Arabidopsis thaliana: one gene and its partner. The protein of the gene in region 2 interacts with the protein of the main gene of each other region in a pairwise test. Each region holds a gene or a part of one and is shown on either strand. Other genes may lie near its edges.

Region 1 (5,485 bases), 3.7 Mb from region 2:
CGACAATACTACTAGTAAAGACATTACCTAGTGATGATCTCCGTGACCGTGATCACCATGACCATCCCAAGGGTGCCTCCATCCCTATCCATTGCCAATAGCAAGATCAGATTCAGCCACCACGAAAGATATTAGGACCAATAAAATTTACAAAAGCGAGACAAAGATAAAAAATGAAAGAGTTTTACCATAACTACAGGACCATCTTGCTTTGCCCTGTACAGAATCCAGAACCTGAAAATACCAAAAATTGAGTTTTTAAGATGTGAATGCTAGGGAAAGTTAAAACCTATGTGCGATTACTTCTTCAACCATTCTCATCGAACTGAAATTGACATAAGCAATATCTGATTCAAATTAACATCTACCTGATTAGCTCCGATACTAATTTGACAAATCCAATTTTTTGATTCAAATGGATTCTATATACAAAATTCCTCAGATGATCAATTAGCCCAAAATCCCCATGGCGAGATCTAGCTACGATCGAGATTAGCTAGGTCCCAAAATCAAAAGCGAATTAGGTGAAAGAGAGAAATCAGAAATGTACCACATAACGGCGCACAAGCCTTTTCCGGTGACGGTGTGCCAAGTCTTGGGAGTGTGGACAGTGACTCCCTTGTAAGTTATACCTCCGCCATGTCCTCCTCCACCCATTATCTCTCTCTCGAAACCCTAGATTCCCCGATTCGCACTTCAATTTCAGACCGAAAAAGCTTTCTTTCTCCTCAGCTTTGACAATTTACTACCTGAGATTTGATTCAACCATGTGAGTCGTCACTTTTAGTAAGGCCTCAATTAAAAGGCTTAGGCCCAATTTAAAGACCAAAGGCCCATTTCTATATCTGTTTCTTTCACAATGTTTTCTTCCTTTTTGGGCCCTTTAAGAAGTTTGGATACATGAATTGAATGTTTTGTAGATTTTGTAAGAGTTTTTGGTTTTTGTTTTCCAAAAACTTATTTTCATACCAATCAAGATTTTAAAATTTTGGTTTCCCTACAATTTAGAAAAATTATTTTCTTGTAGTTTTCCATTCATGATTTTAGTTTTTTAGTTCTCCTAAAATTTAGGAAATCTAGTTTTTACTCAATCAACGTTATTTTTCTCAAAAACCAAAAACCAATTTTTTGGGGTTTTTGAAACAAAAATATAATAATAAAAATCTGAAACTAAAATCTAAAATCTATAAACTAAAATCTAAATTCAAAAACTGAATCCAAAATCAGCATCCATTCAGGGCCTATAACTTCGTCCCAAATCGTTGTTTTAACCGTCAAAAAAAGACTCAAAATCAAATGATGATACTGTATCATTGATACATTACAATAATTAATTTATTACAAGATCATGTTGGTATACACAAAATAGAACAACCCTTCTCCAAAAAAAGTTAACAATTACTCCAAATGGTTAGGAAACTAATGACTGAAGCTGGCTCTGTCCACGAAAGAGAGAAGAGATTGAAGCTCCCTTGCAGGTGCTGCTCGTGGAAGACTTCTCCACATCATCATAATCATGGGACATGCTCCTTCTCACAAGCATGATGATGTGATCCATTAAACTTCCATCGCAAGGAACTTTTAAAGGACCATCAATGGTAGTCCCAAACTCATCCTCAGCCATTTGCAATAGCACCTGTAACATCGGATGATTCAGATAATCCAATGGTAAAACGAATCTCTTCCCTTCGTTCGTGTACACAGCGAAGTGCCCTTTCTTCCTTCTTCTCCATTTCTCCATCAATTCGGAGAGTCTAATCCCTTTAGAATTTAGTTTCTTCATATGATTTTTGTGTGTGTGTTACTTCGGCTTTGATAGTTTCGTTGCGTATGTATCTGTCTGTATGCAACCTTAATTAAATGCCTAACTGCTTCTCTATATATATAGCAATATATGGACCAAACTGTGGATTTTGATGTGTGTGGAGGGAAAAGGATGTTCGTGCTTATTTGATTGTTTTTAGTTGCTTTTCAAATTTGTCCACAAATTGGATCACGACCACTCGTGGAGTTATGTACTGACCTTCTACAAATATCTAGAGATTTTCGATCTTTCTAATTATTTCCGTTTCAAAACATGAATTACGACTAAATGCAATTATCTTGGTTACTAACACACTTGTTTTTGTCATTGTCATTAATGAACTTTGACAAAGCTATATCACCATGTAGACAGTATCTCATTATTTGGAAATTAAGTTAATCAAATCAAGCTAAGCTAGTGTATTGACAGACCATAACATTACAAATAATACTAACTATTACCACTTTTTCTTTAACAAGATACTAAAGTAGTTGCAGAGCGCAAAGGTAATGATAGAAACATGTGAGCGTTTCGAGCAAGTTGCTTGCTACTTTTCATTTTATAGTTCTCTCTTCTACTTTCATGAGTGTTCGTTGTTTTTCTTTTTCTCGTCACATGAAAATCCTGCAAATCATTTTTTAAAAACTTTTTACAGCCAACAAATCTAAATCACTTCATCATGATATTAAGTGTAACATAGATAGATGGAAAAACTATCTTTAATCACAAAACGCTCAAGTTAACAATCCGTGATCGTGCCTAGGAAAAATAAAGCAACCTCCCATACTACTTTATACAGGAAAACAACCTTTACAGCACTTTTGTTCTGATTTGTCTAAGCTAAGCCTTGAAATTGCAGTCCCTGGTTTCATATCTCAAGTTCAGGTCGATTCTTCAAAGGACAAAAGCGATGCGTCCCAGAGTCAGTCTGAGCTTAGCTGTCATCTTCATCAATGCATATGGGCACAAAACTCATGCCAGAGAAGAGTTGTGGTTTGGTTGTGTGAGAAGATAAACGGTTCGCAACAGCTCAATGGTTTCGGTCTTTACATAGAGAGAGGAAGAAGCATCCTTCGCTTCTTCTTCCTAGCATGTCTCACTTGCTTTGTGATTTTCATACAGAGGAGTAATAGTAAGGTGACACAAAGCAGGATAAAAGCAAGTTGCAACCGCCTGAAGTACAAGGATACAGCTGAAAACACCACGAGTGCTAACATCACTAGTTCCCATATGACAAAGACTACAACATCAACCCTGAATCAAAAGCAAACGAAACGAATAGCATAAGTACCACTATAGAATGTTCATTGTCAAAATTTAACAATAGAATCCAGATTGCAACAGAGTCGATAAGAATGAAAAGTGTATGTCAAATTGTCAAAGATGGTTCAACGTGGACAAGTCAAAATTATAGTTCCTTGTGTAGGATTCACATAGATATCCAATGTTCAACGACAATCCCTTAAAAGATGAGAAATTTACGGTTCCAATTGAATTAAATATCACAAAGTACAATTTTTCAAATACAACTCTAAGCACGCAGCTCCAAATCACAGCAGATTAAAAAGGAAAGGATAAGCCGGAGATCTCTAACCTGGAGGAAGAGAAATTGGAGGTGGAAGAGAAGAAAGAAACGGAGGCCCAATCATGCTTTGATCTAATCTGATATTCCCTGAGCTGTTCTGCTAGATTCGATCTTGTTATCATCGCTTCTTCTCCACCAAGTCCCGATCACAGTCCCGATTCGACGAAGAGCTCAAGAAGCGTTTGAGAATCACGAGATGTAGGAAAAATCTATCACCAACATATAACTAGAATCTAGAAATCCAAAACAATGGAAAAACAAAATCTGTGAATTGGAAAATTTCGCATCAAAATTTTACAGCGACGAAACGGTGTCCGATTCGTTAGGAATTCGGCGAACGTTGCGTGGACTCTCTCGGTGTCAACAACCGGGTCGGGTTATAGATCCGATCTGGATTCTTAAGCCCATTTTATGGGTATTGGGCTTTTACCGTTACTCTTTTGTTTTGAGTTGTCATCATATATGAAAACTTTGTTCCGATGCCATGAAATTTGGGCTTTTAAGAATCATGAAAACTTTGTTCTAACAGAAATAGAAACATCAAAGAAAAAGAAATAAAACAGCGATGCATCGATTGATTCTCATGTCCCACCAAGTAAAGCGAGTGCTAAATATTGTTGAATATTCCTGATTTGACCACAATAAGGAAAATATCACGCCCATAAAACTCAGACGGGCGGTGAAAAAGAAGAAATCGACAGAAGAACAAACGCATGACGTTCATTACTTAGCACTAATCTGAAACTTTCGAATTATAGTATTTGATCCATATGTATTCTACGTTTTTCAGAAAACTTTGTTCAGATATCTCAAACTTTCGAATTAATTAATATTATTTTAAAATCTATAGTTTAGTTGTGAATTCTAAGTGTCGGCTACAATTTGTCGGTTCGCTATCACCGAAAACATTATCCAAAGAATAAGTTAAGAGCTGAGCTTCGGTGTATATGACAACAAGAACCAAAAAGACGAATAAGTTAGTATTGAAAAAGATAGGTTTGTTTGATATGTGTGTTGATACGTCACGGTTCGTGCTACGTCTTTGTTAAATTTAGAGACCAGAGATTACTGATGTGGCACGTCGGTTCATTTTTTTTATTTTAGGCGAATTTTAAGAGATGATGCATTTACCGATTACCATCTGTCCTTCATTAATATTTTTAGTATATCTTTTTCAATAGGTCGAAAATGACATCCCACACATTAACATATTAATTCATAAGAAATCCAAGTCATCTTATGCTCATTTGTCTACTCATGATTTCATTATCTACATCTAAGTTTATCTTTAAAAACTGCATGAAAACATAACCATTTACGTTGAAAAAATACATACACAAACCCTTTTCCCATAAACGAGATTACGAAAGATTGTTTTATGTGCCCCAAAAATGGTAAACAAAAGATGATGCTAACTTTCTATTCGTTCTAAAATCTAAATCTTTAGTTTTAGTTTGTTTATGTCCACGATCATTTCTTTGATAATACTTTTGGCGGATTCACAAGCGCAAATTACCCGTCTTATTGTAGCATTAGGACTAAAAATGAGATCCGGTAGCATTGCAACAACACCTTCCTAATCGATTGAGCCAATCGGACTTATATTACTTGTTGGATTTGTTTTTTTTTTTGTTTAGAGTATCCAAGATCATGTATTTACAATTTCAAAGATCATGCGTTACTAGATTGGCCTCTTCAACATGTTTAGTGAATAATAAGTTAAAATAACACCTAATCGTTGAGGATTCATAGCGTGATAAGAATTAAATAACCAAGTTCTTATTGGTTTGTTTGTATTTTGTAACGCATAGAATAGAAGAAAGAAAAAATAAGGAACGTTATAAATTTCTAAAAAATCATCATTTCTTCTCGAACAAGCTTGTTCCAGCGTGGCACTAGTCAATAAGTCAAGTGGACCCACGTAACCGACATCACGTCTTTTACGCCAATCAGTACATACTATTGGGTCCTACAAAAGGACAACTTCCCATGTTATATTGACACGTTTTAAGATGTAATTGATTAATCTAAATTTCTCTCTGACTCTTTTCTTTGTCTACATCCGACGTTCCATTTCTGACTATGAGCTCCGTCGT
Region 2 (8,693 bases):
CCTTTTTTCCTTTCCTTGACTATAATCACTAATGGAGAGGTATATACAGTAATGACTTTAATTTCTAGAATTGCGTTTCGTAATGCTTTTCTACAAAGTAGTTACCATAAAAAAATATCAAACGAGAAGCCATCTTTTGACCTCATCCATGTCTAATATCTATTGACGTTAAATTCCTTCGAACCTTAAACTGATAAAAAAAAATTATCTTCAATAAACTTAAATTTATGATATAACACTGACCGAAGAAAAAACTAATTTTTCTAAAGAAAACACATTTAATGTTTAATTATAATTGCACTAAATTCTCACTCTAAACATTTTTCCATGACTATGAACCAATAATAATTCAAATATATGTACACGTGAGTGTCTTAATCAGTGGTTGATCATATTCATATTGTCAATTTGTGATTAATATTCATTGGGAAGCAGTGATCTTGTTGTATAGGGACTAGGCTTTCACAATATCTGCAATTTCCACTCCTATTGGCGATCCATACATATTTCATTGGCCCACTAAAAAAATAAATTCCAAAACAATTGGCATTACTACAAATACTTACTCTTTCGGTTTCATAAAGAATGTTTTTCTATAATTTTATATTTGTTCATAAAGACTTCTAAAACTAATCACTTATTAAATATGGACTCATGTATATATATATATTTTTTTTAATTTGTATGAAATGTGTCAAAATGATATTTTTTCAAGCCGATGAAGTACTAAACAATCTCTATTTGGTGCGGTTTGGTTTTTGAAGTTATGATTCTTTTGACTCACTCTTACGATCAGGAACTCACAGTTTGGACTTTGGACATAGACCGTGACCGGCCCATGAGAGACACGAGTTAAACTTTGAATTTAGAAGAAAAGAGTATTAAAAAAATGACCTTTGTGGTTACCCCACTGCAAAACGACCTCACTCAGATGAGGGCTAACAAATTGGAATTGGAGGCAGCAATTATGCCACTTGGCTAAGTAGTTGAGGCAGTGACGCGGCGATATTATCCATGTATATAATGTGTGAAGCCAAAAACGATTGTAACATTTTTCTCTGATCTTAGGTATTAATACGAGAATTCAATTTTTTCCGACAATTTGTTGAAAGCTTTCTCTGTCAACAATAAAATGAACGTGCATTAAATACCAAGGTTGGCTCTATCTAAGAAGCCAATTCGGTTAACCAAAGTATTTCTAGAGGGTTACCTAAATTAACCAAAAGAAATCCGGGTTCGGTTTTGGTTAGTGTAAAACTATTTGTTTTTGTACATTTTCTCATGAAATTGCTTATTAGTACCATATCTCCGTACCAATTTTTTTTTTTATTATTACTTTAAGAGTCTCACTAAGCAATTACCCATGAGATAACATGGTGTACCGCAATAATACAACGTTACCTATGAAACTTCGAGTAGTTAGAAAGTTTTGACAACACCTTTAATTTGATTTGAAGCATGCAATCACCAAATCTCTAGTAACTACTGTTCAAAGGTTGCTTATAGTGTGGCCGAGAGGTATGCCATCATCGACTTCACTATTCTTCGCGGAAACAACTCTTTTGCGATAGATCTCAACTTCACCAATCGGATCTCTTTCATCGATTAGATTGATAAAGTTATTCCATGTCAAAGGAAAAAAACAAAGAGATAGTTGGATTATCAAGATGCATGAAGTATGTGGAGTGCTTTTTTAAACCAAGTGAACGTAAATATGAATTTGTATACATAATACATGTGATTAGAGTTAGTTTAACATAAGTAAAAAAGAAAGTTGAAACTATCAAAATGCTCTGTGTAAGTATTAATTATTTCTTCCAACACACGATGTCAGAAGTCAGAACCGATTATTAATACTTTTCTCAACAACTTCTGTTTCTTTATTTATTTTTGATAACTTCGACGAGGATAAGTAAGAAAATGGCTTCCTCTTTTTCAGTGTGTATAATGCAGTTCTTGACTGGACTACTCTCAATTGGATATCACGGATTGTGAATACATATTCTCGGTTATAACTTTTAACTTTATAAGTTATACTTTTATTTAGTTTCACAATAAGTGTGGTTTAATTCTTACAAGTTTGTATCAAAATAGGTATTGTTTTATATTTTGAATGTAGTTACAGTATTTGGTGAAATTGCAATTCTATTCTTACTATTTTAATGTATTGACCAATAAAAAAAAGTTGTATAATATATTAATAAGAGATAAACAAAAAAAATGTTTTTACTATATGTGAAGAACCTGTAAATGACATTGTGAATACATATATTCTCGGTTATAACTTTTAACTTTATAAGTTATACATTTCTTTCTTTTCACAATAAGTGTCGTTTTAGTGTTAAAATTTTATTTCAAAATAAGTATTGTTATTATTTTTAGTGTAGATATTTGGTAAATATTCAATTTTAATGTATTGACCAATTATAAAAAATTGTATAATATATTAATAAGCGATAGACAAAAAAATCTAATTGTTTTTTTACTATATGTGAAGAACCTGTAAATGACATTTATACTAAAACGTAAAAAGTATGTATGATATATTGAATCAAAAATAATACTAGTAATCAGTAGTTAAGTTACATCTATTTTGTTAACGAAATAGTAAAAAAAAATGTCATTAAGAGACGGATTTATTATTGATATCAAGTAGAGCAAAATTTGTTTGTTTAGAAACACAAACAAAATCTTAACTTTGGCGGTTTAGTCTGACTAATTTCAAATTTATGTTGTGGAGTATATAAAGTCGATAGTACTTTTTAACAATGATTTTGAAAACTAAAACTTTATGTTATTGGAGTATTATCATGGATTGGAGTTTTTGTCAATGAATTAACATGGAGATGTGGATTAGGTTAGGTTCATCGAGATATGTATTTAAAGTTGAAACATGTGTTTTATTATTATTCTTTTCATTTATTTATTTTTTTCTTTCTGTCGGTCAGTATTGAAACATGTGTTTAGTTTCATTTGTCCTCTCAGGCCTCAGCATGTCTAGTCTAGGAGTATTCTTTATGTTTCAAAATATAAGAGGTTTTAGTTAAATATGCAGATTAAGAAATATCCATTTTTAAAAAAATTCAACCATTCATAAAAATATCATATAATATAAATAATTATAAAATATTAAATTAATCTATAGTTATGTTACACAATTTACATAAATCACGCTGTCATGAGTAGTCTTTTTCATATATCATCTATTGACAAAATAACAATTTATCTTGTTGTTCTTTTGAAAACTAGCTATTACTACATATATTATACATTTTTTTTCTCATAAGTGGTTTAACGCTGACAAAAAAAATCTATTGTAAGATGGTAACCACTGAAAGCCATCTTAGGTTCAATACTTAAATAAATGATATGATATTAAAAATATTGATCATGGACCGATGTTTATCGATTTGAGCCAATGCAATCAATACGAAGAGAGACTTTTATTCCTTATTCTTTAGAAATGTATATCTCATTTTATGACTAATTAAATAATAACTGATGATCAGTATGTGGTTCTATACATTTAAAAATCTTCTAATTCAGTTTTTTTTTTTTTTTTGGTATCGATGTTAAGTATTTATACCGTTTTCAAGTTTGAGACAGAATACAGAGTAAACAATAGAAGCAAAAAAAAAAAAAAAAAAAAAAAAAGGGAGAAAGACTACGACTAAAGGAACTACGAATACAAGAGATAACACGATAAGAAACACAAAGCGAAGCAACTAGTAAAGGCTTGAAGAGGAAACACCGATTCTAATTCAGTTTTCATATCTGTTTGATACTCTTAAGGTATTATATTGTTCTGTGTTCCAGTTCTATCTCATGCTAATCAAAAATATTGTTAATACCACTCTTGCCTTTTTCAAGAACCGACATGATTTTTAAGTTTTAACCACAAATGTATTTGATTGGTAAAAGGTTCTAAAAAGTTTCAACAACTCACAAAGCCTTAAAACTGAACCATTCATGTTTTACTTTTCTTTTTAAGGCTATACAACCAAAACAAACTTTATGTTGTCTAATTAATTTCTCTGGCATAAAAAAAAAAAAAGACTCCACAACTAAAATCTTTTAAGTACAAACTACAAATAGGAACCAATTATTAGTTACTAGTTAGGATGCATCTTCTTCTTACACGTGCTGAATTCTATCTTTTGACTTAAATGAGTGAGATGATAAAAGTCGAAAACGATTTCGCTTTTATACGCGGAAGCGGAAACGTGTTTATTTTCTTTTCTTCGAGTCGCGACGTCGCATATATTATTTATCAAAATACAAATTTTATTATATCAAAATCATAAAGCTAAATAAATACGACACAACTTCCAACATTTTCTCTAACCAGAAAGAAAAAAAAAATGAAGAAGAGTATCGAAACTCCGTTATTGTTGAACACCAAACAATCACAAGACGAAGATAAAGAAAAAATAAGATGGGAGAAGATGAAGAAAGTTGCTTCAATGGCTGCTCCAATGGTCGCCGTGAACATGTCTCAATACCTTCTTCAAGCAACTTCTACAATGATCGTCGGTCACCGGAGCGAACTCGCTCTCGCCGGAATCGCTCTAGGAAGCTCCTTTGCTAATGTTACCGGCTTTGGTGTTCTTGTAAGCAAGTATATGAACCTTTATATATATATATGTATTGGATTAATTTGTTTCTAATTATTGTTGTATACTATATAGTTTGGACTTTCAGGTTCATTGGAAACACTATGTGGTCAAGCATATGGAGCAAAACAATATCACAAGCTTGGATCTTACACTTTCACTTCAATAGTTTTCCTTTTGATTATCTCTGTTCCGATTTCGATTCTTTGGATGTTCATGAACCAGATCTTGCTGTTGCTTCATCAAGATCCTCAAATAGCAGAGTTAGCTGGTGTGTACTGTCTCTGGCTGGTACCAGCTTTATTCGGTTACTCTGTTCTCGAGTCGTTGGTTCGATATTTTCAGTCACAAAGCTTGATTTATCCAATGGTCTTGAGCTCTCTAGCTGCTCTGTCTTTCCATGTTCCTCTCTGTTGGCTAATGGTTCATAAATTTGATTTTGGAGCCAAAGGAGCGGCTGCGTCTATCGGTATCTCTTACTGGCTCAACGCGGTTTTTCTTTGGGTTTATATGAAACGCTCTAGTCGTTGTGTCGAAACGCGGATTTATATGTCCAAGGATGTTTTTGTTCATACAAATATCTTCTTTCAATTTGCCATTCCTTCTGCAATGATGTGTTGGTAAGTATGTACAACTTTATTAAAAATCCATATAGAATTAACCAAGTGATGGTAGTCTAGTGGTGGTCATTGTTTTGTGGATAGGTGAAAGATTTAAAATCTTAGGTTACATAAATAAATGTGTAATGGATTTTTTTTCCCTTCACTAATATTCTATTGACACTTATTTTCTTATTGCTCTTGCTTCCTTCAATAGCCTTGAGTGGTTAGCTTTCGAGGTCATTACTTTGCTGTCTGGTCTTCTACCCAACTCAAAGCTCGAAACATCGGTTATTTCGATTTGGTAATGTATCGAACCGCAAAACTATATAATCTGTGATACTTATATTTTCTTTCATTTTCTAAGCCTTAATTTTTGGGATTGAGCAGCCTCACGACCTCTTCATTGCATTACAATCTAGTAAATGGAATTGGTGATGCAGCAAGGTTTGTTCTTACTTTAATACTCTTACATCGAATTTTCACTTCATTTTATTTTCGAAGAATTAATGTTTCATTTTTTTTTGTTTCGTTGGTTAGCACCAATGTGGCTAATGAGCTAGGAGCTGGGAATCCGCGAGGGGCTCGTGATTCTGCTGCGGCTGCAATCATAATTGCAGCTGTTGAGTCAGTTATTGTGAGCTCTAGTCTGTTCTTGTCTCGCAGTGTGTGGCCTTATGCATATAGCAATGTGGAGGAAGTAATTAGTTATGTGACTGATATCACTCCTATTCTTTGTATCTCAATCCTCATGGACAGCTTCTTGACCGTCCTCTCCGGTTAGCCTTTCTTAACACGCATCTCCGGTTTTGCAACCATGTTATTATTTTTTTGTGAACGTGAACCGAATATATGTTTTGTTTTGTTTAGGGATTGTGAGAGGAACAGGGTGGCAAAAAATTGGAGCTTATGTGAACATAACCTCTTATTATGTCATTGGTATTCCTGTTGGACTTCTATTGTGTTTTCATCTTCACTTCAATGGGAAAGGACTTTGGGCTGGTTTAGTCACAGGATCAACATTACAAACTCTAATCCTATTTCTTGTTATTGGATTTACCAATTGGAGCAAAGAGGTGATTGTAACCGCGTAACTCGCTTTTTTCTGTTTCTAATCCATCATTCGATTTTTCGAGAAATCGAGCTAATATTTGTTTACACATTTTTTCTTCAATGAAATTTTGCAGGCAATTAAGGCTAGGGAGAGAATTGGTGATGAGAAAGTTTGGAGACATGACTCATTGCTTAATTGAAGAAAAAAAGAAATACAAACTTTTGGGGGATTTTGATTGCTTCTTTTTTTGTGTGTGTTTGTGCAATAACCTTCAGTTGATTGTAATTTATATTGAAAGTACATTATAGTCTTTCATATGATATTAGAGTGTAAGAAAGTTTGAAAATATATCTCAGTTAAAAAATGATCTGGTATATAATAGATGAATTAAAGAGTGACCAAAGTTGATTGGTTCAAGCTTAAAACTTCTATACTATAAAGTCTATAATACAACTTTACGTGGCCAAAAAACAAATAATGAACCAAAGAGAGAGTATCTTGAAAGGATATACTCAAAGAATTAAAGAAGTCAAAAAGCAAATTTGAATACTTTCTCCGACAAGAGATGCTCATAAGAGTCAAGGTGAGTAGGTAATTGTTATGGCAGAAAACACGTGGAAGCAACGACACGTCATACATAATATTGAAGATTAACAAAAAGTTAAATTAAATCAACATCAATCCAAGAAACAAAAATGTATGGACTTGCAAAATCAGTTATACAATGAGGTGAATCCAGCCTCGCAGAAGTCCATGTTCAAGTCCAGTTTTGCACCAATATAGTATATTGGTTTCATGGACGTAAGAGTCTTGTCAAATGAATCCAGCCGCGCATCAGTCCATGTTCAAGTCCAGTTTTGCACCAGTAAATTGGTTTCACGAACGTGAGAGTCTTGTTAAATGAATCTAGCCTCGCTTCAGTCCATGTTCAAGTTCAGTTTTGCATCAAGATATTGATTTCATGAACGTAAGAGTCTTGTCATGGAACTCCTAACAATAAATAGATTGACCCATATCATTTTTATATTACGTTCTCGGTTACATCACACTTTTAATGTTGGATTCCTGATACGCCTGCTCAAGAGGAGGGGTTTTCAATTATATTTCAATTGAACCTCATTCTAAAACTAGCAATAAACCCAACTTGGTATTGAAACTTAAATTTTGGGATGTTACGTTGGACATTTTTCCGAAAACTAATTTTCGGCAAATTTGTCACTCGAAACTACATTGAGAACGTTGGATTCATCTAATCTACAAGCACTATCTTTGTAGTTTGTAGATTGTAGTGTATACTCAAACGTAAAATTTGAGGTTTGTTTCTGAGTGAGAAATGGATATCCAAAGTTGGGTATATGAAATACACAAAATGGATAAAGTGGTTTTTGTACATATTGGAAGTTGGAGAAAAAAATCTGCTAGTATATAAGGTGAAGGTTTCATGTCCAAGGCTTGTGGCCTTCTTTATTTTTTTTTTGCTTTTTCTTTTTTCAAAAGGCTTGTGGCCTTGTGTCACCATATTTGTGTAAGTAGGGGAAGGAGCTAATTCTCTTGATGCTTGGACGGGTGGGTTAGGTTGGGTCATTAGATGGGCTTGGGACTAAATTTTCTTTACTTAGATTCATTTTGTATTTGCTTCTCTCAATCTGAACTTTTTATATTTAACTTCTCAATCCTTATGGAGAGCTTCTTGACTGCACTCTCCGGTAGCCTTTCTTAACCATCCTCTCCGGTTTAGGAGCCATGTTTTTAATTTTCTTGGCCATGAACAATATGCCTCATTGTGTTTAGGTAGTGTGAGAAAATTGGAGCTTATGTGAACAAAACTTCTTATTATTTCAGTGGTATTCCCTATTGGACTACTTTTGTTTTTTTCATCTTTCCACTTACACTTTAATGGGAATGGGCTATGGGCTGATTTAGTCTCATGTTCAACACTACAAGCCCTAATCCTAATTCTTGTTATGAAATTCACCAAAATATTTGGACCAAAGAGCTGATCAAACCAAGTTTGTATCTGTTTCTAATCCTTTACTCGGTTCTAGGGAAATCGAGTTAATATTTGTTTCTATTTATTTGGGAAACTTTTCAGGCAATCAAGTCTAGGGAGAGAATTCTTGTTGATAAATTTTGGATAAATGACTCATTGATTAATTGAAGAATAAGTACAAACTATGGGTTAACATTAGTTGCATTTTTAGTGAATTTGTTCAAGAAACATCAACGACTTTTTCTCAATTTTCACTCTTGAAGAAATGGTCCTCAAACAAAAAAAAATGACCAAAGAGAGAAGTCATATTTTTAAAAGAGTCTACGGCTTCTGAGAACTATGGACAACGAAATTTGACTTATTCGCATATTACAGTCCTAAAAATATAAAAAAAATCCTAGATGATTATATAATAAACTTACAGTGAATAACATGAA

Evidence for each region.
Region 1: the proteins of AT1G66760 (region 2) and AT1G76185 interact in a protein complementation assay, tested with the Arabidopsis thaliana proteins (one large-scale study listed by BioGRID).

The regions. Positions count from the first base shown.
Region 1 is NC_003070.9:28,588,523-28,594,007, reverse strand, and holds AT1G76185 (NADH-ubiquinone oxidoreductase chain), read right to left. Parts: upstream 3,684-5,485; 5' UTR 3,512-3,683; coding exon 3,399-3,511; intron 3,059-3,398; coding exon 2,851-3,058; 3' UTR 2,477-2,850; downstream 1-2,476. Other genes in the region: AT1G76200 (NADH dehydrogenase ubiquinone 1 beta subcomplex subunit), read right to left, coding at 28-84, 189-234, 551-657; AT1G76190 (SAUR-like auxin-responsive protein family), read right to left, coding at 1,412-1,783.
Region 2 is NC_003070.9:24,897,749-24,906,441, forward strand, and holds AT1G66760 (MATE efflux family protein), read left to right. Parts: upstream 1-4,133; 5' UTR 4,134-4,361; coding exon 4,362-4,610; exon of another isoform or gene 4,611-4,688; coding exon 4,689-5,233; intron 5,234-5,429; coding exon 5,430-5,516; intron 5,517-5,602; coding exon 5,603-5,659; intron 5,660-5,752; coding exon 5,753-5,991; coding exon of another isoform or gene 5,992-5,996; exon of another isoform or gene 5,997-6,082; coding exon 6,083-6,288; coding exon of another isoform or gene 6,289-6,306; exon of another isoform or gene 6,307-6,399; coding exon 6,400-6,465; 3' UTR 6,466-6,695; downstream 6,696-8,693.